Linked DNA regions of Caenorhabditis elegans. The protein of the gene in region 1 purifies or fractionates together with the protein of each later gene. This does not show direct contact. Each region holds a gene or a part of one and is shown on either strand. Other genes may lie near its edges. The genes, in order: vars-1, fbxa-12 and pfkb-1.1.

Region 1 (10,996 bases):
CAGAGGTGCAAAACAAATCAACACACTTTTTTGCAATGAATGAAAGTCAAATTTTCAAATATAGAAATTATGGTGATACAACATTACCTGATGGATACTCAATTGATATACCTGAATCAACAAATGATGTTATGAAGATTGTAGGATCATCTATCACACCAAATGCAAAATTAGTAGAGTGAGTTTTTGGATCAGGAAATTAAAAACCAACAGTACTAGATTTATATCATTTTCTCACAAAATCGAGAAATCGTAAAACAACAGTTACATGGAAAAATAGGAATTTTTTTCAGAGAAAAACTTCGACGGTTCCCATCGCTCTGCGTTCGTAAAGGCGACGAACTTGTTGGATTCATTTCTTCAGAAACTCACGGAGCACTTGCTCATTTGCATGTCTTTGATGTGAGTTTTACTATTTTCAAATTGAATATTTTCAAATCTGTTTTTAGGGGCATCGTGGTAAAAATCTTGGAGAGAAGTTGGAGATTGGAGCTGCTAAAATGGCTATTGAGTGAGTGATTTTTTGACAAAGGACTGTGGAAAAATGATAATATTTTAGAAATGGAATGCGTCCATGCAAGTTCATCGACACAACAAACAGTTTCTTCTTGGAAAAAGCAAAAAAGTCAAAGTTGATGGATGTTGTTGAGTCCAATGGAACACCGCTAGTTTTCGACCAAAATGTTTATTCCCAGGCGTCAAATTATGGAATGCACAAGTGATTTTAATAGGAATACAATGAACTTACAATAAATCAAATATACATGTAAATATTGAATAAAAATTCGAATACCTTCCAGCAAGTATATTTGCAAAGTAATGTTCTTTTACAGCTAGATTTTGGTCAGACAGTGTTGTTGAAAATTTTTTAGTCGAGAAAATCTAGTTATTCGCTGTTTATGAGTTACTTTTTCAGACAATTACACAATTTCCATGCTTGCTAAAAAAAAATTATTAGTTACAGTAACCTTTAAAGGCGCAGCAGCGGGGAGTGCACATCTCAAACGAGTGTGACCGTAGTCATTGGTGAAAATTGGCAACATTTTCTTGCAAGTTTTTTGACTTTGATTCAACCATAAATTTCAGACTTAATTCTAAACTTAAGTATTAAAAAATAATTATTTGATCTTATTTAGCGCGCATTGCCGCCAAACATTGACTTTTTGTTTCGAAATTTTGGGACAGAGATGGTTTTCTTCAGTTTTCTTTTGTTCAACAACATTTGGTTCTGTTCATTCATTTATTTCATTCAGAAGGATTTTGGCCCGTTTATTTGAATTTTAAAAGAGCTTATTTCTGAATTACGTCGCTTAAAACAATAATTTTATACCGTTTTGGCGCATTCGTTTTTTCTCGTTAAAAACTTATTTCTTTCATTCTTTAGACGGTTGTTATTCATTGCTCGCGGAATCTTACCATTTTTAAAATTTCTTTAAATTTCAGGGAATCAATTAACCGAGCACCCCACGCCTAATCACTAACCACCCATTTCCCCTGCACTACTAACGAAATAATGGATATGCTCAAGGAAAATGTTATCCAGAATAATGAGTGAGCCACTTTTATCATAGTTTCTCAATTTTAATTTTCTTTTTTAAGGGCTCGTACAGAGTCGAGTGTTGAACCATCGCATCCCGATATGATGGAGACTGTTCCGGAAGAACAGCAAAAACCGATTTCTCATATCGACGATTTGCTTTCCGAGACCGCTAACCTGATGGCTGTCAAGGAGCAGCTTCTCAAGGAGATTGCTGAGTAATTCTATAGGATAAATGGACTGTTTCTTAAATTTTATCTTCTCAGAAACGAGCATATTCATTCGATGCAAATGAGAGCTCTTCAAAATCTTCCACAGGAAGCTATTCTCCCACTGCAATATCATGCTGATCCAAGACGCCGTCACCGAATGCAAAAACCGGAATCGTACAAGACTGTCATATGTCAGGCTTGGTTGGAGTCGAAGACATGTGCTTTCGCGGAGAACTGTCGTTTTGCTCACGGCGAAGAGGAGCTTCGTCCATCTCTGTTGGTTTGAACATTGAATTAAGATTACACAACATATTTTACAGGATCGAGGCACGTCAAAACAATAAGTACCGGACGAAGCTCTGCGATAAGTACACTACTACTGGGTTGTGCCCATATGGAAAACGCTGTCTTTTCATTCATCCGGACAATGGACCAAATGCATACATTCGAGCCGATAAATTGTTCGAGGTAAGATAACTTTTTAATTTTCCACTTTAATCAAATCTTCAACAGGTTTCGCAACGTCATGCTTTGGCCGACCTTCGCGATCAAATGGAGCATCATATCATGAATGGAGGTCGTTCTACAGCCGGCCCTCAACAATTTGATATGTTTGCAAGGCCATGCACACCAGATGAGCCAGCAGCAAATATGCCATTGGGTCCAACCCCAGTTAGCATTCGTGGACCACGATACGAGTTGCCATCGAAGAAGCCACTTGAGACTGAGGGTATGAAAATTGAATATTGATGATTAATTCAAAATAATTTTACAGAAGCCGGGAATCGCCCACCATCAAGCTGGCCGTTGGATCCATCAACTTTCTTCGCATTGGATAGTCTGAATATGGCAACTCGTCCAATCAGTCCGTTTGAGTCTATGCTTATTGGAGCAGCCGGGAACATGCAATACTCTATGCTTGGAAAACAATCAACACCGGGAGGAGTTTCGGGATATTCTTCCTCTGGATCAACTCCGTCTCAAGATAGTGATTCGTCTCCACTCACAGCTGCTTCTGCTGCTGCAGATGCTGCCTGCCAAGCCAACTCGGAGTCTGCTCAGTCTATTCTTCTGAAGTCTATCAACAATCCGATGATTGGAAACGAGACAACTCTTCCAATTCCTGGACTTGATCAACTTGCCATGGACATTGCCAAGCACCTTGAATTGTGGTGAATAACCACCTCCTTCCCCATCTATTTATACATTTTGTCAAATTGCCATACGTTTTTATGTCCCATACTAACTATAATAACGCGCGCAATTTGTAAATATAATAAGCTCAATGTTCCTGTCATATAGAAAGCACGCTCGCTCCCCCCATCTCTCGCAGGCTCTGAAACTAAACTTGAATTATTTTGCTGCATTTTATTATATCGGATATCATTGCATGTATTTTCAATTCCCTCCAAATATAAATTGCTCGTATCCTCTCCCCACACTAACAATCAATAAACTTTATCGAATGTCAATCAATGTTTTTGAAGACCATCTGGAAATAACGTTTTTTCACGAAGATATCTGATTTTCAATTATAGAATTGCAAAATAATTTCTGAAATGTTTCGTTTGACAAAAAAATATTTTTTAATCTTCCCTCCAATTAGTTTCGCGACAGGGCGCATTTGCTTCGTCCAGACGAGCGTTAATTTTTCAACAGATTGAGCGCATTCTTTCTTTTAAATTATTGTTTGTGGTTTCAGGTGAAATAAATGGGTAAATTGAATCGATTAGCACTTTTTCATCGTTCAAGAAGGCAATGTGCTTACTCACCGACAATTATTACACGTGAAAGTAGTAGGTAAACGATAAACTAAGAAAATAAAATAACTAATTTTTTCAGCTCCTTTAACATCGACGAGGTAACACAAAATTTTGAACAAAGAACAGAGTTTGCCGCTGCAAATTATCGAAAGAATGGTCAGATTTCCTTGATAATAGTTCTAGGCAAAAAAATATTTTTCAGGCAGTCTATTTCGTATGGTTTTACCCCCGCCAAACGTAACTGGTAAACTGCATTTGGGACATGCTCTAACAGTTGCAGTGGAAGATGCTATTTGTCGACACCAGAGAAATCAGGGAAATAAAGTAAAATTTCACGAAAAATTAAGATGCTTATTTTTATGTTTTCAGGCCGAATGGATTCCTGGATTTGATCACGCAGGAATCGCCACACAAGTAGTCGTGGAAAAAATATTGGCAAAAAATGGAAAGCGACGACTTGAGATGACACGCGAAGAGTTTGTGAAAGAATGCCATTTGTGGGGTGAAAAATGCTCATCTGAAATTCGACAGCAATTGACTCGAATGGGAGCTTCTCTCGACTGGACTCAATCATATTATACTCTCGATTCAAAATTTTCCGAAGCCGTCACAAAAGCTTTTTGCATTCTTGAGCAAGAAGATTTGATTACACGTGGCAAACGATTAGTTCATTGGTGTCCAACACTATCATCTACATTATCGAGTCAAGAAGTAAATCGAATTGATGTTCCATCTGATGGTTACATCAATTTATCGTCGTCAAGTGGAACACGGAGAAGAGTGAAGTTCGGTCAAATGCATGTAATTAGATACAATCTGGTAGATTCTGAATCTGAATTCATTGAAGTTGGAACAACTCGCCCAGAAACTTTGTTCGCGGATGTGGCCGTAGCAGTTCATCCAGAAGATGATAGATATTCAAAGTTCCACGGAAAACATGTTTGGTCTCCAGTAACACCGGGAAGGAAACTTTTCGTAATTACTGATTCAGCAGTTTCCGTGGAAAAAGGAACGGGAGCTGTAAAAATCACACCATCCCATGATGCTCTTGATTACGAAATTTGGAATCGTTGGATATTGAATGCTGGACAGAATACAATCGAAGAGTTTGCATGTATTGATGCTGAGGGAAAAATGACAAATTCTGGTGAAGATTTTGATGGAATGGATCGATTTGAAGCCAGAGAAAAAGTGATTCAAAAATTGTCAGAATTGGGAAACTACAACGGACTTATGAAACATGAAGGTGCACAAGTTAATATTTGTTCTAGAACTGGAGATATTATTGAGCCGAGACTCACAGAACAATGGTTTTTGGATTGCAAAGATATGTTCGCCAGATCAGCTGATGCCATAAAATCCGGAAAGGTACACTTTTTACAGCAAAAAAAGATTCGTTTGAAGATGTGGAAAAAAAACTGAGAATCTTAAATCCAAACCGCCGAATTTTGTAAGGAAACGTTCTAAAAATTTTTCATAAGTTTGAGGTCTAAAAAGCAGTCACAGATTTTAGTACACCACCGTAAAAAACCAACACAACAATGATTTTGCAGATTGAAGTGTTTCCGGAATATCAATCACACAGATTGGCTGACTGGTTTGAAAATCAAGAACCATGGTGTTTAAGCCGGCAACTTTGGTGGGGACACCGAATTCCAGCATATAATGTTCCTGGGTAAGCAGATAACTTGTTCACTAAAAGTAATACGATTAATTTCAGTCAATCGAAATGGATGGTAACTACAGACGAAGAAGAAGCTCGACGAGAACTTGGTGACAAAATGCAACAGGATCCGGATGTTCTTGATACTTGGTTCAGTTCTGCATTGGTTCCACTCGTCAAAAATGGATGGCTCGAAGGTGCCCCAATTCAGACGCCTTCGTTGAATGTTATGGAGACAGGATGGGATATTTCTGGATTTTGGGTTGCACGAATGATAGCTTTAAATATGAAATTATCATCTGGAGAGACACCATTTGGAAAAGTAGTCTTACATGGATTGGTTCGAGATAATGAAGGCCGAAAAATGAGTAAATCGCTGGGAAACGTAATTGATCCATTGGACGTTTTGGATGGTATCACATTTGAAAAAATGATTGAAAGAGTGAAATCAAGTGCTCATGAAAAGGAAGAAATCGATAATGCTGTTAAAGATCTAACGAAAAGATTCCCAAATGGAATCTCCAGATGTGGACCAGATGCACTTCGTTTTGCACTTTTGAAGTATGATGTTCTATCAACAGATATTCCAATCGATGTTTCAAATGCTGCAATTGAAGGTCTTCACTTCTGTAATAAAATTTGGAATTTGGCTGCATATTACGATCAGCTTGCTGAAAAGTGTGAAGTCATCAAGGATGTTGATTCAGATCGACTTGTGGTGAGTAGTATAAAATAAGATAACAGTTGTTTCTAAATTTTATTAATTTTTACATTCAATTATCTAAAATATATCTAAACACAAAACGTTTATTTTTCAGGACGAATGGATTATGGCTAGACTTTCGACTACAGTTTCCACTGTCGATGCTCACATGAACAAGTTTTCCCTCCATTTAGCTCTGTCTACACTTCATAAGTTCATAACTTCGGATATTTGTGATATTTATCTGGTAAAACTATTTTCCTATCTCGTAATATTAAATCTTCAATGATTTCAGGAGTCCACCAAAAAAGCTTTATGGAATAATGATATTGCTAGAATTCGAGAAGCAAGATCTATACTTCAAAGAGTTCTACAACCGACTCTAGTTCAACTCAATGCTTTTATGCCATTTGTTAGTGAATATATTTATGAACGGATTTTCAAACGAGAAACTGGAAGTATCCTCTTTGACGTCGTCAAGCCATCGCTTTTTATTTTCCATAGAAATGAAGAACTGGAAGAAGCTATGAAATTGATTACTGCAATGATGGCTGCTATTCGATCTACTCGTCAAACACTGCAACTTCCACAACGAATTACCTTTTCTGGTATTTTAGAAATGGCGCCAACTGACACATCACCTTCGGAACTTCGAATATTAGCCGACGAAGTCACACAAACTTGTGGTTTTGAATTGCAAAAAGTGTGCAGAGAAGTTGATGAAGATATCAAAAAAGATCACATGGCTTGCCCAGTTCCAGGACATGATGCAAAATTGTGGATGAGAATCGATGCTGACTGTAAAGAAATGTTCATTTTGAGTCTCAAACGACAACTGGAAAAGACAAAAACCCGTCAGGAACAGTTTCAAGCAAGAATTGCATCGTATGAAGCAATTTGTGAGAATCCTAATTCCAAACCATCAAATGTAACAAAAACAAAACGGAAAGCTGAAAATGCAAGAAAAGTCGTCGAAAATGCAAAAGAAGAAGCTGAACGGATTAAACAGCTAATTTTGAATCAAAGTTAGATTTATTTGTAGTCATAGATATTAGTGAGATTGTTAGAATTGTTTTCCTTTGTATTTTGTTTTTTTCTGTTAATTTTTGAAATGTTTTTTTAATAAATAAATAAAATTTCAGTTTATTATTCAATTCTAGTGTTGTTAAAGCCAGCATGGTTTCATCAATTAATATATTTTTCAAAAATTGGTTCAGATAAAAACCGAAGTTTTCAGAATGGAAGGGACGGAATGGATAGTCATTATAGTCACTATCATTCACATTATTCTGGCACCAGGAACAAAAGTTGAAGAATCATTTAATGTTCAAGCAACTCACGATTTGATGTTTCATCTTCCTACTAATCTTAGCAATGTAAATTTTACACAAAAATTTAATTTTAATTCGAAAACAAAAATCAATAATTAGTGAAAAACAGTTTTCAACAATTAAGATATAGTTTTAGTTATGTTATCAGACTTCTTCATTTTATCATTGTCGCACGATAATCCTTGATTCATTTTGGCAAGATATTGACTGATATTCGTTGCATCGTCTTTTCCACAAACTTTAGTAACTTCTGACTTTATGCATTCCAGAGAATTGTTCATCAAATCACATTTCATTTCAGTAGTCATGTTCTAGAGAAAATATCAACCTACTCGAAACTTTTAATTTTACTAACATTTTCAAAAAATGCTTTGAACGATTTCTCACATTGAGTTTCACTTCGAGCATCCATCTTTTCTTTGCACTTTTGAAATCCAGTTTCTAGAAACGTGGAATATCCACAAAATGCTTCGAGGAATAGTTTCAAATTATGAGCATTTAGGCAATCAGTGGAAAAACATTCCTTAAAATTATCGTTGTTGTTCAACATCTTAAAGATAGATTCCTACCAAAACTACGTTACAAGAAGATGTGAAATTCTCGCGATCCTCTACCAATTTTAGATTGTAATTATCGACACTTGATATAAGTTCAGAAAGACCCTGAAAGCATGCTTTAACTTTTAAAAAATCTGTTAGCTAGGAACTTTACCTGAATACATCCAAAAACTTTAAAGAATTCTTTTGCATCACAAATAGCGTTTTTCGGAGCAACTTTTTCAAGATTATTAGAAAAAACCACTGGAGCAAATAAAAAGAGAAGAATTACAAACATGGTAGGTTGAGAATTGACAAGCAAACGATAGGTTGATAGGTTGATAGGTTAAATAGTGAATTCAAGGTTATTGAATGCGTTTAAAACTCTGATCTTTTGGCATTTGACGAATAATTGACGTCTACAGAGGAGGTAAAATTGATAAAAGTATAAACTATCACGATATGACTAGACGATGAAAATGAAAGTATCAAACGATATTTAACAAAGTTTGAGTTCGAGTTCAATTTTTCCAAAAAAACTGTTTTCAGTATGATCACTCACAGTTCCCTGGTGTCGTTCCACGAACATTCATTGGTCCAATCAGTCTTGCAATCCTATCTTCTCCGATGTCATTTATCTTCAGATTCTGGGCAATTCCAAAAATGTGGCAGCTACTTCTTAGTGAGTCGTTGGATAGTTTTAATTGTAACATCAAATACTCTTGCACATATCAGAACATATTTTCATACGCTTAATTCCTGAAATAGTAATGAAAACAGATATTCAATTACGAATTTGAAATCATGTCTGGGAAAATCCGGAATTATTTTAGCATCAACCAAAAAATAAAGCAATAAAAATTTAAAAAGTTATAAAATTACTTATTTTCAGTCCGCGCAACTCTTGGATTGATGAATGCGATGGCGTTTCTCTACTTTGCTCGATCCGTTAATCGAAAATTTGGAAGAGAAACTGCAATGTATCTACGATTGATTATGTGCACTCAATTTCATTATATTTTCTACATGTCACGCCCACTTCCAAACACATTTGCATTGATTCTTGTAATGATTGTATTCGAGAGGCTATTAGAAGGAAGATATGAAAGTGCTGTCAGATATGCTACAGCTTCAGTGATCCTGTTCAGATGTGAACTTGTCCTTCTTTACGGCCCCATTTTCTTGGGATACATGATTTCTGGACGTCTCAAAGTATTCGGATTCGATGGTGCAATAGCTATCGGTGTTCGAATTGCAGCAATGTGTCTAGGTAAGTACCGAAGAAATAAGTCTGAGTATGATATAATTAATTTCAGCTGTCTCCATTCCAATCGATTCCTATTTTTGGGGACGACCTCTTTGGCCAGAAGGAGAAGTCATGTTCTTCAATGTCGTTGAGAACAGAAGCCATGAATATGGTGTAAGTTTTCAGTTAAGAAGTCGCCGAAAATTTTTCTGATTTTTTTTCGGTTTTATCAGAGATGATTGAAAAATCGAAAAAAAAGTTTCCAAAATTAACAAACAATTACAAAATTTTATCTACTTTCGTTTATTACGGAAACACAAAATACTGAGAACGCGTATAGAGCAACATATTTGAAAATATCTTGTAGCGAAAACTACATTAATTCTTTAAATGACTACTGTAGCGCGTGTCGATTTACGGCCTTGATTCTCGAAACGGATTAAAATAATTTGTTTATCGATAGAATATTGCAATTAAGGAAAAAATGAGAAAATTATACAAAGAAATGAATTAAAATTCGAAAATAAATGTATTTCAAAAATCGAGCCCGTAAATCGGCACAAGCTCTACAGTAGTTATTGTTGTGTATTCGAAGGCGAGACGAGGAGAGAAGACGAGTAGTTTATTACATTACTAAACTAAGGAATAAATAAGTTAGTTCATAGAGTTCACGTTGTACGATCTTCTTGGCCACGTCGTGGGTCAATACACGTTGATACCCAACAGTTATTTAAAGGATTACTGTAGTTTTCGCGCCAAATATCTTGCGCAATACGTATTCTCACAATTTTTTGTTTCCGTACTACTTTGATGAGAAAAAATTTCTTCTAAGAAGATAATAAATTACAGTTGTTTTTTTCTTCAGGATAATCGAAAAAATGCAAATACAAAAAATATTCATTTTCCTATTTTCCAAAAAAAAACACAAAAATTGAAAAACACCTTTGTCCAAAAATCACCAAAACAAAACCAAAGTAATTTTCCCTTTTTTTCCAGACGCAACCATTCTTATGGTATTTCTATTCTGCTCTTCCACGATGTCTACTCACCACTACATTGCTTGTTCCTCTGGGTCTTTTGGTAGATCGCAGACTTCCACAAATTGTACTTCCAAGTGTCATCTTCATATTCCTCTACAGTTTCTTACCACACAAAGAACTCCGATTTATCATCTACGTTCTGCCAATCTTCTGCCTTTCAGCGGCAGTTTTCTGTGCTAGAATGCTCATTAACAGACATAAGTCGTTCTTCCGTATGATTCTATTTTTCGGAGTCATCCTTCATTTACTCGCCAATGTTCTATGCACTGGAATGTTCTTGCTTGTTGCTTCAAAGAATTATCCAGGATTTGATGCACTCAATTATCTACAATTTCAAAATCGATTCGATGCAAAGAAACCTGTAACAGTGTATATTGATAATGCCTGTGCACAAACTGGAGTTAATAGATTTCTACATATCAATGATGCTTGGACGTAAGTTTGTTTTTAAAGAAAATTCAAAATAGTCTCAAATTCAGAATTATCACTAAAAAAACGAGAAAAAACAATAATAAAACCGATGGTTTTGGCGATTTTTCAACTCTTGCTAATTTTCTAATTTGAATTACCGCGCTTTTTTCTCTAAGCTCCGCCCACAGAACCGTGCCGCGAATGGGCGGGGCTTAGAGACGAAAGCGCGGTTATTTAAAGGAAGAGATTAGCAAAAATCGTCAAAATCATCAAACTTTTTCCAAACTTAACCAAACTTACTATTTTTGTGGTATTTTGGAATTTGGGACAAGTTTGAGTTCGTTAAAAAATTAATCGTTTTTATCAATTCGATTCTAATAGATAAGTGTAATGTATTTTTGTATGCAAATTTATACTGGAAAGTGACCATTTAACCTATTGTAATTTCCATTCTAATCCCCTCCTCCCACTTATAAGTGTAGATTCTTGATCATCGTAAAATCGAATAGTAATTAAGTATCCCTCACCAATGTACTCATTCCATTTCTTGAGAT
Region 2 (10,377 bases), on another chromosome or scaffold:
AATATAGGTGCCATTTAAAAGATGATAACATAAGAAATGTAAATTTTGTGATAAAAAATTTTTTTCTACAATTCTGCAAAAGTATGGTTTTTTGGGTCTTGCAACGAAAACTATTAAAAATCCGCTAAATCGAAAATTCAACAAAATTTCCAAGTTCAGCTCGTTGAGACCTCTCAAATAACACCCATATCGACTAGGATCCGTCATCTTTGAAAAAGTTCCCCGACACAGCTGAAGTCATAGCTACAGTACCCATAGTGGCGGGACCCGAATTTTCAAAATGCGCGGAACATAGGCAATATAGGTGCCATTTAAAAGATGATAACATAAGAAATGTAAATTTTGTGATAAAAAATTTTTTTCTACAATTCTGCAAAAGTATGGTTTTTTGGGTCTTGCAACGAAAACTATTAAAAATCCGCTAAATCGAAAATTCAATAAAATTTCCGAGTTCAGCTCGTTGAGACCTCTCAAATAACACCCATATCGACTAGGATCCGTCATCTTTGAAAAAGTTCCCCGACACAGCTGAAGTCATAGCTACAGTACCCATAGTGGCGGGACCCGAATTTTCAAAATGCGCGGAACATAGGCAATATAGGTGCCATTTAAAAGATGATAACATAAGAAATGTAAATTTTGTGATAAAAATTTTTTTTCTACAATTCTGCAAAAGTATGGTTTTTTGGGTCTTGCAACGAAAACTATTAAAAATCCGCTAAATCGAAAATTCAACAAAATTTCCAAGTTCAGCTCGTTGAGACCTTTCAAATAACACCCATATCGACTAGAATCCGTCATCTTTGAAAAAAATTCCCCGACACAGCTGAAGTCATAGCTACAGTACCCATCGTGGCGGGACCCGAATTTTCAAAATGTGCGGGACCTAGGCAATATAGGTGCCATTTAAAAGATGATAACATAAGAAATGTAAATTTTGTGATAAAAATTTTTTTCTAAAATTCTGCAAAAAAAATTTTTTTGGGTCTCGCAACGAAAAAAAAATTAAAATTCCGCCAAATTGTAATTTCAAGAAATTTTACGAGTTGAGCTCGTGTAGACCTTTCAAAAGACACTTATTTTGCCTAGGATCCGTCAATTTTGAAAATTTCGGTCCTCCGACACAGCTGAAGTCATAGCTACAGTACCCATCGTGGTGGGACCCAAATTTTTAAAATGCGCGGAACCTAGGCAATATGGGGGGTCATTTTAAAGGTTTTAACGCCCTGAGTTTGAATTCAGCAGTGAAAATTTAGGAATTTTGATTTTGAAAAAAAATTCCGAAAAAAATTTCGAATTTTTTTTGAAATTAAAAAAAAAACGATTTTAATCGTAAATTTTCTGTATTTTGCAGGTACAACAACAACATGACCACCACTGATCCATACCACATTTGTGCAGAAGCCGATGGCCTATACTGTAGTAATAGGCAACTGGATACCGATATTCCCGATCATTTGACATATTTCGGCGTATTTTTCCCAGATTGGCATTTTACATGTTAATTTATTGATTTTTAAATGTAAATTTATTCAATTTATTGTTGCAGAATTTTTGTTTCGAAAAACACAAGAAATTCCATTACAGATGTTTGAAAATAAAATAAAAAGGAATTAGCATTTTCTAATTTCAACCATCAAATGTGAAGCATTATTATAACGACGAAGTTTGAAATTAGCTCCACTGCTTGTAAACTCAATATCCATTTCATCACCAATAGTAAAATCTGGTTGAAACAATCTTGCAAATTCGATCAGATTTCCAGGGTCAAACCAAATAATGCAACGCCGGAAACTACTTCTTTTCAAGAGGTCCTGAAAGTTGCAACTTACTACATATATCTGTGGTGTATGATATATATGATGTGCCTATATATTTATGACTCCATATATATATATAGTATATATATATATATATATATATATATATATATATTTCTATATATATATATATTTATATAAATATATATATACAGATAATTTTTTCCACGGGAATTGACGGGAATTCAAATTTTCTGATAATGAGAAAAAAAACTATCACAGTTGCAACTTACATCTCGAATTTTAATTGCGTCTTCTTGTGGAAATTGAACAATCGTTGTACAGAACTCTTCGAAATGAAAGAAATGATCAATTGCTGTCAGGTAACAATTTGTAACACCATAATACGTGGATCGGAAGCTTTTTGCACATTTCCACTGATCCAGCAAAGTGATCCTTTCAAAATCAAGAACCTTGCCAATGAGCAAACAATTAATATCGTCCAGCACGTCCGCTTCAAAACACGGCAATATTGAAAGAATTTCGTTGAATGTTAGGTATAGAAGATTTATTTTCTTCACGTGAACGCTTCCTCCGTTCTCCAAAACATTCACAAGAGATTTGAGAACCTCGTTTTTATTTCTTGTAAAGTTTTGCAGAACAAATGAAGATGCATGGTTCATTGCTATTTTCAGGTCCTTGAATGCCAACTCCATGAAATCTTTTTCTTGGATAATAGTCTTCCGTCCTTTGTAGATCACAGCTGAATCAGTGTATTCCAGTTCAATCTTATCAAACCGTATTGAAAGGGTTTCGCTCATAACGTCCAGCTTGATGGTGTCAAAACGGATTCCAAGCTTGTCAAGGGCGGCTCTCAAGCTTCGACAGACTTTACGGCAGGTTAGTCTGGAATTTAAATAGTTTTTGATTTAACACTGCAAGTAAAGTTTTAAGTCTAAGCCTACCATTTTAGCTCCGCCTATTTTTCAGCCAATTAACGTTTAGCTCCGCCTATTTCTCAGCCAATCAACGTTTAACTCCGCCTATTTTTCAGCGAATCAACGTTTAGCTCCGCCTATTCCTCAGCCAATCGACGTCTCAGCCAATCAACGTTTTGCTCCGCCTATTTTTCAGCGAATCAACGTTTAGCTCCGCCTATTCCTCAGCCAATCGACGTCTCAGCCAATCAGCAATTAGCTCTGCCTATTTCTCAGCCAATTAACGTTTATCTCCGCCTATTTCTCAGCCAATCAACGTTTAAATCCGCCTATATCTCAGCCAATCAACGTTTAACTCCGCCTATTTTTCAGCGAATCAACGTTTAGCTCCGCCTATTCCTCAGCCAATCGACGTTTAGCTCCGCCTATTTCTCAGCCAATCAGCAATTAGCTCTGCCTATTTCTCAGCCAATTAACGTTTATCTCCGCCTATTTCTCAGCCAATCAACGTTTAAATCCGCCTATATCTCAGCCAATCAACGTTTAACTCCGCCTATTTTTCAGCGAATCAACGTTTAGCTCCGCCTATTCCTCAGCCAATCGACGTTTAGCTCCGCCTATTTCTCAGCCAATCAGCAATTAGCTCTGCCTATTTCTCAGCCAATTAACGTTTATCTCCGCCTATTTCTCAGCCAATCAACGTTTAGATCCGCCTATATCTCAGCCAATCAACGTTTAGCTCCGCCTATTTCTCAGCCAATCAACGTTTAGCTCCGCCTATTTCTCAGCCAATCAACGTTTATCTCCGCCTATTTCTCAGCCAATCAACGTTTAGATCCGCCTATATCTCAGCCAATCAACGTTTAGCTCCGCCTATTTCTCAGCCAATCAACGTTTAGCTCCGCCTATTTCTCAGCCAATCAACGTTTAGCTCCGCCCACTTTTCAACCAATCAGCATTTAGCTGCACCCAATTCTTAACCATTCAGCGGAGGAAAGCAGCCCCTTCTGATTGGCCAGAAGTTGCTCAACATCATAGTTTTTTTCGTAGTTTTTAAGAGTTTCGAGATTATTCTGTATATTTTGAAATTTGAAAATGAAAAATTCGCATTGCTGTTAAAATGCAAAAAAACTTACCGTTCAATGGGCTCCAGCTTTTCAAAACATGATTGGCAATTTCCAACGGCAATTCTAGTAAAGTAGGCATTTTCGAAAGTTTCTTTTTTCAAGTAAAAACCTGAAGTTTTCAGTGTAAAATTTGAAGAAATTGGGAAGTTTCGAGTAAAATGAAATTATACCAATGTGTGACTGTTATCAGTTTAAATATTTTTTCGGGAAAAACGGATGGAGTCATACTTTTTTTACGGAGGAAATGTTTAAATACCATGCGTCATTGGAGTTTGTATAATAGAGAGAGTGAATAGACGTTTTTGGTTCATTTTTACGTTTGAATTTACATATAACTCCAGTAAAATGTCCAAGTTATCGCCAACTTTGCTCACTATCAGTATGCCTTTGGAAATTTCTGATGAAATTTTGTCAAAATTGCCTGCAATGGATCTGTAAGTTGAAGTTATAATTTCACAAATTTTTCCAAATGAAAGTCAAACTTTATGCTAAAAAATTTGAATTTCCCGCCAAAATGTTCAAAAAACATTTAATTTGAATTTCGCGCCACAAATTTTTAAAAATGTTGATATTAACGGTGCGTCAAAATTTATTTGTTCAATAACAAAATTAAATTTTATGCCAAAATTGTTTGGAATATTAAAATGTTTTAAAAATTTTAAATTTATTTTTGTACCCAAATTTTTTAAATATTGATTTTGGCGCCAAAATTTTTATTCTTTAAAAAATTGAATTTCGTGCCAAAAATGTTTGAAAAATTAAAATTTGAATATATATTTTTTTAAGATTAAAAACGTTTTTTTTTTTGAGAAATTTAAATTTGAATTTGGCGCCAAAATGTTTAAAAAATTAAAATTTGAATTTTCCGCCAAATAATTTTAAAAAATTGAATTTGAATTCAAATTCAAAATTTTGGAAAATTTTAAAATTGAATTTGGTTCCTAATTTTTTTATGATAAAAATTTGAAATGTGCTCCAAAATATTTTAAAAAGTTCAATTTGAATTTTCTGCCAAATATTGTTGGGAAATTAAAATTTGAATTCCGTGCCAAAAATTTAAGTTTTTTTCATGATTATATCTGATCTTTTCGGTACCAAATAAGTGTTTCCAGCTCAAAGGAGTCTTAAAATCTTTTTAGTAAAAATGCAATGTTCCAGACTATCCTGCCGTAAAGTGTGCAAAAGTCTGAGAAGCGCCGTTGACCAATCAGGAAACCATCTCAACAGAATCTCATTTGACATTTGTAATGATTTCGTTGCGATGGACTTAAACGGAAGTCAAATCAAATATACCGATGTTTCTGGTACTGCATACGTGACTTACAAAGGACGAGAAACAAAAATCGAAGAAGACAATTTCATGCGAGCAGCGTTCAACGACTTGGCGAGCGTATTGAAAAACGTGAAGAAGTTCGTTTTTCAGAACTATTCGAAAGTAAAACAACAAGCCATCACATCGTCGATAAATGATATGTTGGAAAATAAATGTATAGCCGTAGAGTCAGTAGTACTATACAACTTCCCACATGATGATATTTTGAACATCATTTCGAGTTGTCAAGCTGAAGTGCTCAAAGATATTGTATTATGGCACCGCGACGGAGTCGAGTTATCTGAAAGAATCACTTGTCTGGACCAATGGAAAAAAGCACGAACTTTGCATTGTCGGTTTTTGTTTTGTGATCTAGTACCAATTGAGCACTTTTTTCACTTTGAAGAGTTCAGTATTCAAATTGACAATCTCTCAATGCCAAATGCGATTAAAATTCGAGATGTGAGTTTTTCTGATTTTCACATGTATGTGGTATATAGTAGTAGTAGTAGTAGTAGTAATCAAGGGTGTCGGTTTTTCGTTTTTCGGTTTTTTGAAAATCGAAAAATCGAAAAATTTCGTTTTTCGTTTTTTCGATTTTTCGATTTTTTTTTTTTTTTTCAGAAATTAGCTTCATATTTTAGCCATTATTCTTCTTTTTAGAAGAAATGTGTATGTTTTATTATAAATTCAAGCAAAATTAGATTTAAAAAATCATATTTTAAGGATAATTTTCCGAAAATCTTTTTCGATTTTTCGATTTTCCAGAGAATCGAAAAATCGAAAAATTTTCGATTTTTCGGTTTCTGAAAATCGAAAAATCGAAAATTTTCGTTTTTCGATTTTCAATTTTTCGATTTTTCGATTTTTCGATTTTCACTGAAAAAAATTAAAAAATCGAAAAAATCGAAAAATCTAAAAATCGAAAAATGACACCCTTGGTAGTAATAGTGTGTAGTAGTATATAATTTGTATGTAGTATGTATGTATGTAGCATGTATTTATGTAGTATGTAGCATGTATATATGTAGTATGTAGTATGTAGTATGTATGTATCTAGTATGTAGTATTAGTAGCAGTAGTAGTAGTAGTATATAGTATGTATGTAACATGTATGTATGCAACATGTATGTATGTAGTATGTATGTATATAGTATGTATGTATGAAGTAGTGGTGTGTATGTATGCATGAATAACCTAATGAAATTTCTCGAAACCTTCTGAAAAAAGTTGCGGTGGTTTAAAAAATTACCGAAATTTGAAATTTGACCGACTTGTCAAGCACTAACTTTTATGAAATTACCATATAGCTATCTTAAGTTTTAACTTGATTTAGATACATTTAAAGTCGACGGATCACCAGATTTCGTAAATTTAAGTAAACCGAAATCAAGTCAAGACATCTTACTTGTATACCCAAATTTTTTTCAGGACCTCATGAACAAAACTACATTCAAGACCTGCACTATTTCAACTCACCATAATGTGCAATCAATTGAACTTGCAAGAATATTTCAACCGGACTATATGGGCGACATTGACTATAACATCAAATATTCTAATAACACTGGCACCTTCGAAATTTCTTTCAAATCATCACTTACTATTAGAGCACGGTTTGTTATTAAAAAATGCTGACAACAAAGGGATCTTGTTTCTATATTTTCCAAACGACCAAAATTATTCATATGTGCATTAAAAAAGTTTAATAAAAAACATGCTTCATTTTTGAAAAAAAAGCCCATTAATAATTTTTCAAGCAACACTGTTCACTGCTGAAACTCTTGTAGCCCAACTACCATCAGCAGACGGCTTCCGCACGAAGAAAGCCCGAACAGCGTTCCTGTACGGTGTAATGAAGTAAATTTGAAAAATTGGATCCAAGAAGCAAGGAAGTGCTCCTAGACAGGTTATTGTGTACTGAGAGATCAGGAATTGATGGCCTAAAGGTGATATATACAAATTATATTGGTTTGATAAGCTTCCCTTACCAGTGACTTGAATCAGAATAAATAAAAACACTACGGGGATATAACTAAGCATCGGCAGAAAGATTTGAAAGTTCAGGCCCTGGAAACCAAATTAAGCTATATAACAAAAGCTTACGCCTACAATAATCATTTTCCGAAACATAACACGTGTAGCGTCCGATGTGTTTGGGGATACATGAGGTTTAAGAAGCTTCATCGCCTGATGCTTCCAGTAGCTGCCGATCATTGGAAAATACAACGTGACAAGGAACATAGCCACTGTAGAATTATCGAGATAAACTTTTTGAGCTTGGCTGAACCCTCCAAAATTCAGATACGGAGTGTAGTCATACTCAGGGTAATGGGCTAGCGTTTCATTGTAGACTGCCAGATGGTCGGAGGGAGGAATCAAGGTAGAAGTCTGTAATAATATGGATTGGCTAGCTTTGTACGACGTCTAGCTACCAGATAGGCTATTATGAACAGGTAATGCCAAGAAAAAATCAAGGTGTTACGGCCAATTTCCTGGGCGTTGATCAACTTCAGACATACGGTGCGATAGTAGAGAGTGTGCAAGTTGATCAAGTTCACTGTTAGTACAGAAGTCTGGAAATTTGGAGGACAAGAGGGCCTACAGGGCTTGAAAGAGGATATCTCACCGCATATGCTTTATAGCACGTCGCACAAAACGTTGGCCCGAGAAACTTACAAAACCCATCACACAGCAACCCCATGGAATTCTCATTATCAATATTTCTTTAAAAAATTTAACTTAAAGGTGGAGTAGCGCCAGTGGGGAAATTGTGAAAAACCACTTATTTGATCCCAAAATGACCAAATATCATGATAAAACTTTTCAAAAAATTTTTGAAATTTTTTTATTTACTGTCAAAAAGTGGCAATTACTCAGTTTTTGCCACTCATAATTTTGGAAGTCGAGAAAATTTTGGCAATTTGCAATTTGACCGGAAATTATGAAAAATCTAAAATTTTTTGGAGTGTTTTATGATGATATTCGGTTGTTTTGGATCATTATAAGTGCATTTAGACAAAATCCCCACTGGCACTACTCCACCTTTAAAACCGCACAATCTCAGATTCTCGCAAACCTCGTTTGTGTTCCAAACGCCAATGTTAAAGAAACAAATGTAGCCGTACATGAAGCGTAGAGAAAATATCTCATGGCTTTTAAGACGTTGGTGGTAAAGTTGTAGATCAAAATGTACATGGTTGAAAACAGGCATAAGCTGAGTAGGTAGAACGGTGGCCAGTAGAAGCGGAACAAGTATTGGAGAATGTCCATTTCCAAAAAGTTGGGTTATGAGAATTTGAGCTGGAGATGATTTTTAAAGAGAAGCGAACCGAAAAACCGCATGCATCAGCAACCACGAACTCAAGTTTTTGCTAATGAAAACGATTCTTGATTTTTCGGGCGTTTGATCTTCGAAGTCATGTGTTGATTACAAACTTTTAAAGAAAAAATGGGTTATGGATTTAAATCAGCTACAGGAATTTTAAACATATTATATTTTCTGAAATTTAAAGATGGAGTAGCGCCACTGGGAAAATTATTAAAAACCACTCCTTTGGTCCTAAAATGACCAAATATCAAAAGCTCGTATTTTTCAAAATTTTGGCAATTTGCCAAAAACTTTGACCGGAAACTATGAAAAATCTAAAATTTTTTGGAGTGTTTTATTATGATATTCGGTTGTTTTGGATCACTATAAGTGCATTTAGACAAAATCCCCATTGGCGCTACTCCACCTTTAAAGGAAAAGTTTTTGATATTTTTTCAGCAAAATTATTGGTTTTTTCTTTGAGATGTAACAGTTTCCAAGTGAAAAAACACCAAGTTTACTTCAATTTTTCAAGTTCCCAGCCAAAAATCATAGATTTTAAATAGGTTTTTGATATGGAAAACATACCAATTTACTGATTTCCTGTTCTTATCACTCACATTCCTTATCAATCAATTCTAAGATTGTCCGCCGTGATTTCGAACCGTAAGTCAATATCTTCTTTTTTATTTCAATTACCCATTTTGTTGTACATTTCCCGTCTTAACTTTTATACCCCCAGTATTAAATACTTTATTTTCCAATATGTCTCTTCCCGGCCAAGATGCTCAATGTGCAAAAGGGGTTTCCTTGCTCAATCTGCCTCTGGATGTTGTGAATCAAGTTTTGGAAAAGTTGGAGCCCATGGAGTTGTGAGTTACTTATTTTTAAAAAATTGCGAAGTTTTCAAATTTTCTGAGAAAAATATTTTGGCTTGAAATTTATAGGAAAACAATTGATTTGGCGGGGAATTCGAATTTTTCGCAAAGAAAAAAATTTGGCGGGAAATTCAAATTTAGCGATAAGAAATTTTTGCCAGGAAATTTACATTTTCTGATAATAAATTTTGGCATTAAATTTGAAATTTATGAAAAATATTTCGGTTGGAAATTTAAATTTTACTATGAAAAAGTTCTAGGGAAACCAAATTTTTCTAAAAAAATTTTTTTAAACTTAAATTTTATGAAAAGGAATTTTGACGGGAAAATCAAATTTTGAAAGAAAAACAGTTTGGCGGGAAATTCAAACTTTCTGAGCAAAATTTTTGGCAGGAGATTAAAATTTTCTGACAAATAATTTTGGCAATTTTGGCAGGAGATTCAAATTTTCTGAGTAAAAAATTTGGCGGGAACTCAAATTTTCTGACAAATAATTTTGGCGATAAATTTGAATTTTCTGAAAATATTTCGGTTGGAAATTTAAATTTTACTTTAAAAAAATTCTGGGGGAATTTCAATTTTTCTGAGAAAATAATTTTGCGAGAAATTTGTTTTTTCGGTAAATTCAAACTTTCTGAGAATTTTTTTTGAACCTAGTGTTGAGAACTGTTAGTTTTCCTACTAAAAATATAACCAAAATCTAAAATAAATGGGCTTTTTTTCCAGACTGACAGCTCGAAAAGTATGTAGAAGTTTAAGGACATCCGTCGATAAATTCGGACTTCATTTTAATAAAATTAGTATATACATATATGATGATAGCATTTCTATATTTTTGGACGGAATCGGAGTCACTTATTCGGATGCAAGGAATGGCAGCTCAACTGTGACCTACAATGCACAAAAAACGCTCGTTGATGGAGTAAACTTCATGGAAATAGCATCCAAGGACTTAAAGATATCACTAACTTTGAATCACACATCAAAATTAGAAATTTGCAATAAGGCCCACAACAGTCACATTTATGGCACTTCTTTATTTCAAAGTTTCA
Region 3 (10,422 bases), on another chromosome or scaffold:
TCAAACTTTAAAAACTAAAAGTGCCAAGAAATCGAAGAAAAATTGATCAGGCGTTCACATTAAATGAGGATCATTTGAGTTTTATCGATTGGTTTCAAACAAAGCTTGGAAAAAATGCAATAGTTTGCCAGCAGGCATGTGAACGTTGTATGAATCGATTGCCGAGAAAATGTCATCGAATTGAAGAGTAGATCATTTCCAGCGAACTGCAGCAATGAAGAGAAACGAGAAAGACGGGGAACGGCGTACAACGTGAACTTTTGCGCCCGACTACAGCCGGCGGCGGCCGGTCTTCAATTGTCGTCAGATGAGGTGCATTGCGTGCTTTTGTGTTTGCGGAGTCGCATACCGTACTTCGCAATCCTAATGTTTTTCGAAATTGTTTTTTTTCTTTTTCTTTTCTTTTTTTCTTTTTGCCTTGTTCATTTTTTCTTTTAACTAAGAGAATTGAAATACTATTTTAATCTAAAATTTCAGTTAATCTTTAAACTACCTAAAAATGTCGTTGGCTGAAGAACTTATGGCTGATTTTGACGATGACGACGATGAGGATTTGGAAGACATTCCAGATCTCGGAGAAAACCTTAAGGTAAATCGAATTTAAAATTTAAATTATTTAAAATCTAGAGTTTTTGCAGCATCTGATAAAATTGTAATTTTCAGGGCGTCAAAAAGGAAGAACTCGATGATGATATTGAAGAAGCAACAGAAGAACCGATGGATACAACTAAATATGCATCAGTGCACGATGTAGCAAAGCTTGCCAGATCTGATGAGTTAGTTTTAGTTTTGTTTTAATATATAATTTTAAAATACTTTTACAGATATTTAGCACTAGTGAAACAATTGGAAGTTGAACTGAAACGGCCTCAGGATGAAGTGAAGGTGACAGCTCCTCTTGAAGCAGATCCACAATACAAGCTTATTGTTAAATTATCCCACGTAAGTACATCATGAAAAAGAAACAAAAAAGGCAATGATTAATTTCAGGTCGCTGCAGATATCGACAACGAGATCAATGTGATTCACAAATTTGTTCGTGATAAATATGAAAAGCGCTTTCCTGAACTAGAAACGCTTGTTCCTAACGCGTTGACCTATTTGGCTACTGTACAGTTACTGGGAAACGAGATCAACAGCAAGGTAGTGAAAGAACAACTCGGCGGAATTCTAGATGCCTCAACATGCATGGTGGTCAGTGTAACAGTCTCAACAACACAAGGAGTCAAGCTTGAGCCAAATGAGCTGGAAACCGTCATGGATGCTTGTAATTTGGCTGCTCAACTTCATGTCAATCGTCTCGAAATGCACCAACTTGTAGAATGGCGAATGGCTCTGATTGCCCCGAATCTGGTTGCTTTGCTCGGCTCAACTACTACTGCCCATCTAGTTTCACAAGCCGGAGGATTGTCTCCACTAGCCACAATGCCATCATGTAATGTACAGGTTCTCGGAAAAACGAAAAAGAATTTGATTGGATTCTCAACAGTGTCCACAAATCCACATCATGGTTTTATCTATTTCCATCAGTTGGTTCAAAAGATGCCTCCAGATTTGAAAAACAAAGCGGCCAAAATTTTAGCTGCAAAAGTGACTTTAGTTGCTAGAATTGATGCTCAACACGAGTCATCCAACGGAGAAAAAGGCGCGGAATTTCTGGCGTTGGTGGAAAGTAAATTTGAAAAAATGTTGGAGCCACCACCAGTGAAAGCTAACAAAGCGCTTCCAAAACCTTTGGATAAGGCAAGTAAAAAACGTGGAGGACGTCGAACAAGAAAGATGAAGGAACGCCTCGGAATGACGGATCTTCGGAAAAGTGCCAATCGCATGAACTTTGGAGAATTGGGAGAAGATGTAATGCAAGAGCACATGGGATTCGATATTGGGCAGGTGAAGACCGGAAATGTGACTGGTGGAAGAATCCGAACAGCCGCAGTGGATCAGAAGACCAGAGCAAGAATGTCGCAAAAGATGATGCGGCAGATGGAGAGACAGAAAGCAGCTGGAGGAATGACAAGTATTCGAAGCAAAATGGCGGGAACTGCGTCATCTGTCACGTTCACACCAATTCAAGGTCTAGAGATTATCAATCCAGCTGCACAAGAACAGCAACAATGTTCATCGACTTCAAACTATTTCTCCTCGTCTGGAAGTTTTGTTAATATTGATCGGATGACTTTATAATATATTTATTTGTTACTTTCCTCTTCCTGAATTCTGAATTCTTGAATCTCAAACCAAATGAATCGACTTTTTCATTTATATAAAACTCAACAACTAAATACTAACCAATTGGTGGAATTTCTCCCCTCTTAAATATATCTTTACACTTATCCAATCTAACAACTTTTCACCTCGTAAACAACTCTCAATCCTCCCAATTTTCCTCTCCAGGTCTCAGTGATTTTCGATCGGAATTTCGACCCATATGCGAAACGGGTTCGCTCTTTTTTCATGTCTTTTCTTCTTTCTAGCTGATTGCAAGAAAGTAAATCGAGATTTTGACTATGAATTGAGCAAGAGAACTCTGGAATTCGCAGCGGCTGCGTATTCCATCGATCCGGAACCTTGCATCTCGAAAAACAATGCGACTTTATTGTTTTTCAAAAAGGTGGAGTGCGATTATATGCGTGACGAGGTAAAAGATCATGAGATCTTTAAATATTCAAAAATCATCTGATTTAATTTTTTCCAGTGCTGGAGTGTGATTGCTGCCGACAACGACACAATATTCGTCAGTTTCAGTGGAACAAAATCGAAAGAGCAGCTGGTAACTGAACTTATCGAAAGCATTGGTCGGCCAAAGCACAAAGTAGGCTCATGTTTCAAGTGTTTGTCTGAGTACTCACAGAGCAAAGAAAACTTATTTTACAGTTGCACAATGCTGGATCAGTTCATTATTACTTCTACTCTGCTCTAAAAACAATGTGGTCACCAATGGAAAAACTACTGCGAGGACTGAAAGACTCACTTCCAGATCATAAAATTGTGTTCACAGGACACTCATTGGGCGGAGCTATTGCAAGTATTGCATCGACTGTTTTCGTTAGAAACTTTCCCGAAACGTCGAGTCGAACCTTTTCAATCACATTCGGACAGCCTAGAGTTGGAAATCTCGAATATGCCATGACACATGACAAATTAGTTGCTGGAGGAAGCTGGAGACTGATTCATGGAAGAGATATTGTGAGGGAGACTAATATTTAAGATTTTTTTAATGCTTTATTAGGCTCAAAATGCACCCAAATGAGCGAATTTCGTAATGAAACTTCTCAAACAAGTTCGAAATTTTTTTCTGGCGGTTCAAAATATCCTCTTTCAAAAGACTATTAAAAGTTTTTTTTCTAGGTTGCACATATTCCGTTCTGCGTGGAAAGCTATGCCAGATGGTGTATACCATTCTACAATCATGGATCCTATCACCATGGAGTCGAAGTCTGGTTTCCTGGAAACATGACAAGTCAAGATACGTTCAAAGTTTGCACCGGGACTCCATTGAACGAGGACAATTTGTGCAGGCAAGTGACAGTGATCGAAATCACGTGATAAGAAAATCTTCTCTTACAGCAACACTCATCGCTACTTTGACATCAACGATCACCTGTTCTACTTTGGACACCACGTCTCAGATTACGGTGTTAATGGATGTGTAGACCCACCGGATGATGAACCATTAATAAATAATGAAAATGTTTAAATAAATTTAAAAATGTTGATTGAATTGCGATTCTTTTTCTCGTCGTTTCAACTGTTGAAAAGTCGGTTTGAGAGAATATTCTCGCTTCCGTGTGTCACGTATATTTTCTCAGGACTTTCTTTTTATTGGAGAGAGAGAGGAGGCGCCAAAGAAGATAAGACACCCGCGAACTCGAGTGTAAGAAGAAACAAGGGAGGAGAAGAGAGAAAGAAAGGGATGGTTGAACACAGAAAATGAATTGTTGGTTATTTTTCTTTTCGTTTTCGGTTTCCTACTTTATTGTTATGGAAGATTGTGTCTACTTTCTTCCCATTCATAACACGAACCTTCTTTCTTTCTTTCTCTCTATCATTGCCTGTTTTTCTTTCTCTCCGGCGCAATAATATTATTATTGATTTCTTAATATTTGATTAAAATGATAAGCCTTTGTCTTCGGAATCATTTTGATAAGAGACGATATCATTTCGGCTAGAAATGTTGCAGGAGAACGAGATGCCTGGGCCAGCCGGCGTACCGCAGCGCAAAATGACGTATTTCGTGCCGAAGAGTGGTCAGTTTACTTTAAAAGAGGACTTACCATTTTTTTTTGCTCTTTTAGACTCGAAATGTGCCCAAATGAGCGAAATTTAAAAAGATAGTTTATTTCACATAATTTCAATTAAAATTGATTTCCGTCCGTTTCGACATGGAAAATTTGGCAAAATTGAAGATTTTAGCTAAAATCAAATAGCCCATTTTTTTTCGAAATTTTGAGCCGTTTTGGACGCATTTTGAGTTGAAAAAGTGCATAAAATTGATCGATTAGCCCTATTTTATTTTCATTCCACATTGTCTTCTCAAAAATCTCAATTTTCAGACAACTCAAACGAGCAGGTTCGAGTTCCAAACGTCATCGCACTTGTCGGACTGCCGGCACGTGGCAAAACATACATCTCACACAAACTGTGTCGTTACCTCAACTGGATTGGAATTAAGACCAAAGGTTGGTCCTGATTCGATTATATGTACGACATGAAACAAAAAATCAAAATTACAGCATTCAATGTCGGCGAGTACAGAAGAAGAGCGTGTAATTTGGAAGAAGAAGGCGAAAATGAGTTCTTCTCGCCAAACAACGCCAGAGGTCAAAAGATCCGAGAGTGAGATTTTACGAAACTATGAAGAAAAAAAATTAAAAAAATTCCTGAATTTTCAGTGAGTGCGCGAAATTAGCCATTGAAGATATGGGAAGGTACTTGGATAACAAGGAAGGAGAAGTGGCGGTGAGTTACAAAGGAAAAAATTTCAAAAAAATATATAGACATAAACTTTTTATTCAGATTCTCGACGCGACAAATACTACAAGAGACCGACGAAAGCTTCTGATGGAGTTTTGCAGAAATATGATGCACGAGCCACCATTCCGTGTCTTCTTTGTGGAATCTGTTTGTGATGATCCTGATATTATCAACTCGAATATCACGGTAACCTTTAGATCTTCAAAATAATCACCTTAACCCGCATATTTTCAGGAAGTGAAAATCAATTCGCCAGATTATAAAGGAATAATGTCTCAAGAGGAAGCAAAAGAAGACTTTTTGAAGCGTATCGAGAACTATCGAATGCAATATGAGCCACTTGATGAGGATCATGATGAAGAGCTGAGCTATATCAAAGTTATCAATGCCGGAAAATCCTTCTATGTTCACAATGTTAATGGTCATGTGCAGAGTCGTGTTGTGTATTTCCTGATGAATATTCATCTTCTTCCAAGAAGTATTTATTTGTCAAGAGTAAGTTTAACAAAAAAACCGAAAAAATTTTGCGCTAAAAATAGGTAACAGGTCTCGACGCGAAAATTTTTATTAAATGCCAAAAAGTGTGCGTCTTTACAAACTACTGTAGTTTCATTTTTTTTGCTGCCGAGTTTTCATTGAGTTTCAGTTTTCTCACGATTTGCTGTAAAAACGTTTTTATTTTTTATTTCACTTTTTGATAAATTAATATTTTTTTACCAAACAAGCTAAGAGAGCCCGTAAAAAAACTTGAATTTTAACAAATCGTGAAAAAAAAAGAAAATCAATGAAAATTCCGCAGCAACGAGAGTTTGAAATTACAGTATTCTTTAAAGGTGATGCCTTTTTTCATTTAACAAAAATGTCGTGTCAAGACCGGACACCGGTTTTTTTGGCACAAAATTCCGTTTCTGGGATATAATTCATTCAATTAACAGCACTGAGAATTATCAAGTATTTTTAAACTTTTATAGTTTAAAAATCCCTTTAAAAAATTTATTACAGCATGGAGAAAGTGAGTACAACAGAATTGGTCGTCTTGGTGGTGATTCCCCACTCAGTGAAAATGGTTTAAATTACGCTGGAAAACTTCGCGAATACTTCGAAAAAGAAGATTTGGACGATTTCCGTGTTTGGTCATCTCAAAAGATTCGTGCCGCCCAGACAGCTTCTCATCTGAAAGATCTCGCTGGTCATACAGAGTTCTGGAAATGTCTTGATGAAATCGATGCCGGAATATGTGAAGGATTAACTTATGAAGATTTCGAGGCTCGTTATCCGAAACAATTCGCTGAAAGAGATAAGGATAAATATCACTACCGTTATCCAAGTGGGGAATCATATGAAGATCTGGTTGCTCGTCTGGAGCCAGTTATCATGGAGCTTGAGAGACAATCCAATGTCCTTGTCATTTCTCATCAAGCAGTTCTCCGTTGCATTCTTGCCTATTTTACTAACAAAAATCGAGATGATCTTCCATATCTGAAGGTTCCATTGCATACAGTCATCAAGCTCACACCAAAAGCCTATTCCTGTGAGATTGAACTTTTCAAATTCGACATCGAAGCAGTCAATACTTACAGAGAGAAGCCACAATAGGAAGTATTTATTCTTTATCTAGCCAATTATCTATGCCAAATGTACATTTATTTTTTCATACAAGTTCCCATTTTTATGTCGGGCGTTTTTTTTGAGATTGCATTTTCCCTGTTTTTGAACAATTGCCTTTGAATTTAAATACGTTGTCGTTTATGTGAGAGTTATAAAGATTACATCGATTTCAATTTTATGGACTGATTGCAATATTTCTCGCTGTGTCATTTTCTACAATAATCTATTTTTAATGTATTAAACGGTCAGGAGCCACATTAAAAATTTAAAAGAAAACCAAACAAGAACGCGTAACTGAGTTGTTGTTATTTTAAAAGAAAAATCAATTCATATAAAAATTAATCCTTAAAGGCGCAGAGATTTATTCAGATGGGTCCCGACGCGCAAAAAAGTTTATGGTAATTGTGTTTGAATTTTTGCGGCTGCTTCCTCGTTTATTTTTCTTGCATTTTTCAATTTATTAAGGGAATTTTGTCGTTGTTTAAAACCATTGTATGAAAAAAACACAGGAAATCCCACATTTTTAATGGAAGTAGTTTATTTGTACTTTGAAAACTGATTTTAAACATATTCTGACAGAAAAGTGAAAAGAAAACGACATCTGAATAAATCCATGCGGTTTTAAAAAGGATTGCCAAAATATTGTGAAGTTACGATAAAAACAAAGCTGAAGCAAGTTGTATTTATTTTCTGCACATACCTGCGTCTCTTAGTGGCCTTCTTCTCTCTCTCTCTCTCTCTTTCCCAATAATCGTTCCACTATTCGGCTTTCAAACATTCTCATACACTTTCAAAAATCAATTTACAGGAAAATTGATCGAAATGTCAATATCAATGGATGACAGAGGGAACAATAGTGGAGAAGTTGGAGAATGTGAGTCATCACGAACTATTTCGTTATGAAATTTCGTTATTTGAATTCAATTTATTTTATCATTTCAGTTGCCAGTTCATCAATGATACAAGAATCAATAGATCTCAAATTGTTAGCCGCAGAAAGTCTTATTTGGACAGGTTGGAATTGATTTTTTAACAATTATAATGTGAGGAATTACAGAGAAAAATGTGACATACTTCGGACCACTTGGAAAATTTCCAGGTAAAATCGTAATTACTAGGTATCGAATGGTTTTTCTCGTTGGTGATGGTGGAAAAATGTATGAGGTTTGTGATTAAAATTTTAAAATTATATTTTACAAATATAAACAAAAAATTTCAGCAATGGAAGCTCGATATTCCACTCGGACAAGTGTCTCGGATAGAAAAAGTTGGTAGAAAGACGACGAGTGTTGCCAAACGAGGCGATGATAATTATGGATTCACAATTTATTGTAAAGATTATCGAGTTTATCGATTTACATGTAATCCAGCATCGAGTGATAGAAAAAATGTTTGCGATTCGTTGAATAGATACGCTTTTCCGCTATCGCATAATTTGGTGAGTTTTTTTTTTAATTTTAATAGGGGGCTTTTGGCTCTAGAACTATTGGAAATGAAAAAAAATTCTGATATTTTTTTTTAATTTACGAAAAAATAAAATTAATTATTCATTTATTGGTTAGCAAAAAAATTAAAGTTAAAAAAACACGGTATCGTAATTTCACAAGTTTTCGCCTTAGAAAGCCGCACGGATTTCTTCAAATGGGTCTCGGCACGCAAAAAGTTTATTGTGTAGATTTTAAACAATCAATGATTTATTAAAAACTTACTTGACAACCAAGAAATAGACAGCCTAACTTGAAAAACAACATTATTCAACCAAAAAAGGAAATTTTCAGCCAATGTTCGCCTCTGTACATGCAGCAGAAACACCTAGACTTATGAAAGATGGTTGGAAAATTTATTCAGCTGAAAAAGAATATGAACGCCTTGGAATCCCGAATTCACGTCTTTGGAAAGAAGTGGACATTAATAAAGACTATAAATTTAGCGAAACTTATCCAAGAACTGTAGGTTAATGATGGTTTTCTTTTTTAAAAATAATTTTATTTCAGTTTGTAATTCCGACAGTATCTTGGGAGGAAGGAAAACCATTTGTAAAGAAGCTCGGCGAGTTTAGAAGCAAAGAAAGAATTCCCGTGTTGAGTTGGATTAATCAGACAACTTTAGCTTCAATTTCACGATGCTCACAGCCAATGACTGGAATTTCTGGAAAAAGAAGTGCTGAGGACGAGCGGTAGGTTTTATTTTTATTTTTAATGATAATAAAAAATAATCGGAATATTAATATTCTAATATGCTGAAATGTCACAAAAGAAAAACGAAAAAAAATATTTGGAAAATCGTTTATTAAGATATATTTTTTAAAGCATTCAATTTTTCAACAAAAAATTATATTTTTCAGACATCTCACGAACATTATGAATGCCAATGCTAATTGTCGTGAACTTCTGATCCTTGATGCAAGACCAGCAGTCAATGCAAAACTTAATAAGGCAAAAGGTGGAGGTTATGAAGAGAATTATGTCAATGCTCCTCTAACATTCCTCAATATTCACAATATTCACGTTGTTCGGGATTCATTAAAACGATTGCTAGCCGCGCTGATTCCACGTGTCGACGAGAAGGGATACTACAAAGCGTTAGACGAATCGAAATGGCTCAATCATGTTCAGAGCATTTTGGAAGGAGCAGTAAAAGCTGTCTTCAATGTTGACACTGAAAAACAATCAGTATTGATTCATTGTTCTGATGGTTGGGATCGAACTGCACAGCTGACGTCGTTGGCAATGATTCAACTCGACTCCTATTACCGTACAATTGAAGGATTTATCGTTTTGATTGAGAAGGAATGGTGTAGCTTTGGTCATAAATTTGGAGAGAGAATCGGTTCGTTTTTGATAGATTTTAAAAATCATGCAATTAAAGTTGCAGTAGCGTGAATGAGGATTTTGCTTTTTTTAAAAATCCATTCAGAAAATTTTTAAAAAAATCAAAAAAATTGCGAAAAAAAATCCAACTTAAAAAACTAGATTTTTCAGTTCTGGCGAAGTTCCCAGTTCTCATCTTGGGGAAAATTCAAACAGGAAACTTACTAGGGAACACGATAACTATAAGTTATACTTATAGTTATCGTGTTCCCTAGTTAGTCAAAATTGATAAATCGAATTTTTTAAAATTTGAATTTTTCATCCGTTCGCAATTTTATTTCGTTTTTCTGTTGTGGTATTTCTGAATTTGAGAAAAATTTGGAATTTTTTGAAGCTAACAACTATAAAAAATATTATTTGAGAACCAAAAATCTTTGATTTTATACTTTCCGTTCAGGTCACGGCGACGATAACTACAGCGATGGAGAACGATCTCCCGTATTTGTTCAATTCTGTGACTGCCTATGGCAAATTATGCGACAATTTCCATGGGCATTTGAATTTACACAAGAACTGCTAATTTGTATGCTCGATGAGCTCTACGCTTGCAGATATGGAACATTTTTGTACAATTCCGAAAAAATCCGGCTGAAGGATAAGGTTGTTTTCATGAAGATTTTTTCAATTTTTTTTTTTTCAACTTTTCAGAAATGCGATGAAACGACGATATCGTTCTGGTCCTATGTTTTGGAAAATAAAAAGAAATTCAGAAATCCAATGTTTAAGCATGGAAGTTAGTTTTCTGTTAAACTAATATTAAATCTCAAAATTTTAACTTTCAGAATCCAATAAAGTGATAAACGTAAACCCATCTCTCTGCGGTTTACATGTATGGATTGATTACTACGCCCGATCGAATCCATATGTAGTTACTCCAAATCATGAGGTAAACAGCAGTTCCGCTAGAAAATGATAATGAATTAATTAGAAGTTTTAGGATGTTCAACAGCCAGGCGCACAGTTTGTCGAC

What was found.
Region 2: the proteins of vars-1 (region 1) and fbxa-12 fractionate together in Caenorhabditis elegans (co-fractionation; one large-scale study listed by BioGRID). This does not show direct contact.
Region 3: the proteins of vars-1 (region 1) and pfkb-1.1 fractionate together in Caenorhabditis elegans (co-fractionation; one large-scale study listed by BioGRID). This does not show direct contact.

The regions. Positions count from the first base shown.
Region 1 is NC_003283.11:8,027,996-8,038,991, forward strand, and holds vars-1 (valine--tRNA ligase), read left to right. Parts: upstream 1-3,415; 5' UTR 3,416-3,460; coding exon 3,461-3,549; intron 3,550-3,591; coding exon 3,592-3,668; intron 3,669-3,714; coding exon 3,715-3,836; intron 3,837-3,881; coding exon 3,882-4,880; intron 4,881-5,065; coding exon 5,066-5,187; intron 5,188-5,232; coding exon 5,233-5,893; intron 5,894-5,993; coding exon 5,994-6,125; intron 6,126-6,173; coding exon 6,174-6,908; 3' UTR 6,909-7,030; downstream 7,031-10,996. Other genes in the region: F43H9.4 (Glycine N-acyltransferase-like protein), read left to right, coding at 1-178, 294-402, 450-511, 560-722; CCCH-type zinc finger protein oma-2, read left to right, coding at 1,514-1,551, 1,600-1,755, 1,804-2,025, 2,070-2,217, 2,263-2,479, 2,525-2,925; algn-12 (Dol-P-Man:Man(7)GlcNAc(2)-PP-Dol alpha-1,6-mannosyltransferase), read left to right, coding at 7,117-7,254, 8,295-8,427, 8,638-9,015, 9,062-9,165, 9,988-10,466; ZC513.14 (T20D4.11-like domain-containing protein), read right to left, coding at 7,329-7,520, 7,565-7,732, 7,779-7,871, 7,921-8,043.
Region 2 is NC_003281.10:2,215,591-2,225,967, forward strand, and holds fbxa-12 (F-box domain-containing protein), read left to right. Parts: upstream 1-4,117; 5' UTR 4,118-4,206; coding exon 4,207-4,259; intron 4,260-4,983; coding exon 4,984-5,599; intron 5,600-6,568; coding exon 6,569-6,775; 3' UTR 6,776-6,851; downstream 6,852-10,377. Other genes in the region: C39B5.14 (Fungal lipase-type domain-containing protein), read left to right, coding at 1,355-1,505; srd-65 (Serpentine Receptor, class D (Delta)), read right to left, coding at 6,893-7,080, 7,129-7,207, 7,250-7,528, 7,573-7,713, 7,767-7,863, 8,217-8,410; fbxa-38 (F-box domain-containing protein), read left to right, coding at 9,213-9,319, 10,052-10,377.
Region 3 is NC_003279.8:5,127,351-5,137,772, forward strand, and holds pfkb-1.1 (6-phosphofructo-2-kinase domain-containing protein), read left to right. Parts: upstream 1-4,169; 5' UTR 4,170-4,171; coding exon of another isoform or gene 4,172-4,189; coding exon 4,190-4,247; intron 4,248-4,553; coding exon 4,554-4,679; intron 4,680-4,733; coding exon 4,734-4,836; intron 4,837-4,892; coding exon 4,893-4,959; intron 4,960-5,016; coding exon 5,017-5,160; intron 5,161-5,208; coding exon 5,209-5,469; intron 5,470-5,976; coding exon 5,977-6,570; 3' UTR 6,571-6,755; downstream 6,756-10,422. Other genes in the region: prp-31 (U4/U6 small nuclear ribonucleoprotein Prp31), read left to right, coding at 500-589, 664-776, 825-942, 991-2,184; Y110A7A.7 (Fungal lipase-type domain-containing protein), read left to right, coding at 2,429-2,638, 2,696-2,812, 2,875-3,186, 3,349-3,518, 3,568-3,697; Phosphatidylinositol-3,5-bisphosphate 3-phosphatase mtm-1, read left to right, coding at 7,417-7,456, 7,525-7,596, 7,640-7,746, 7,802-8,020, 8,361-8,531, 8,577-8,758, 8,927-9,411, 9,850-10,052 and 3 more.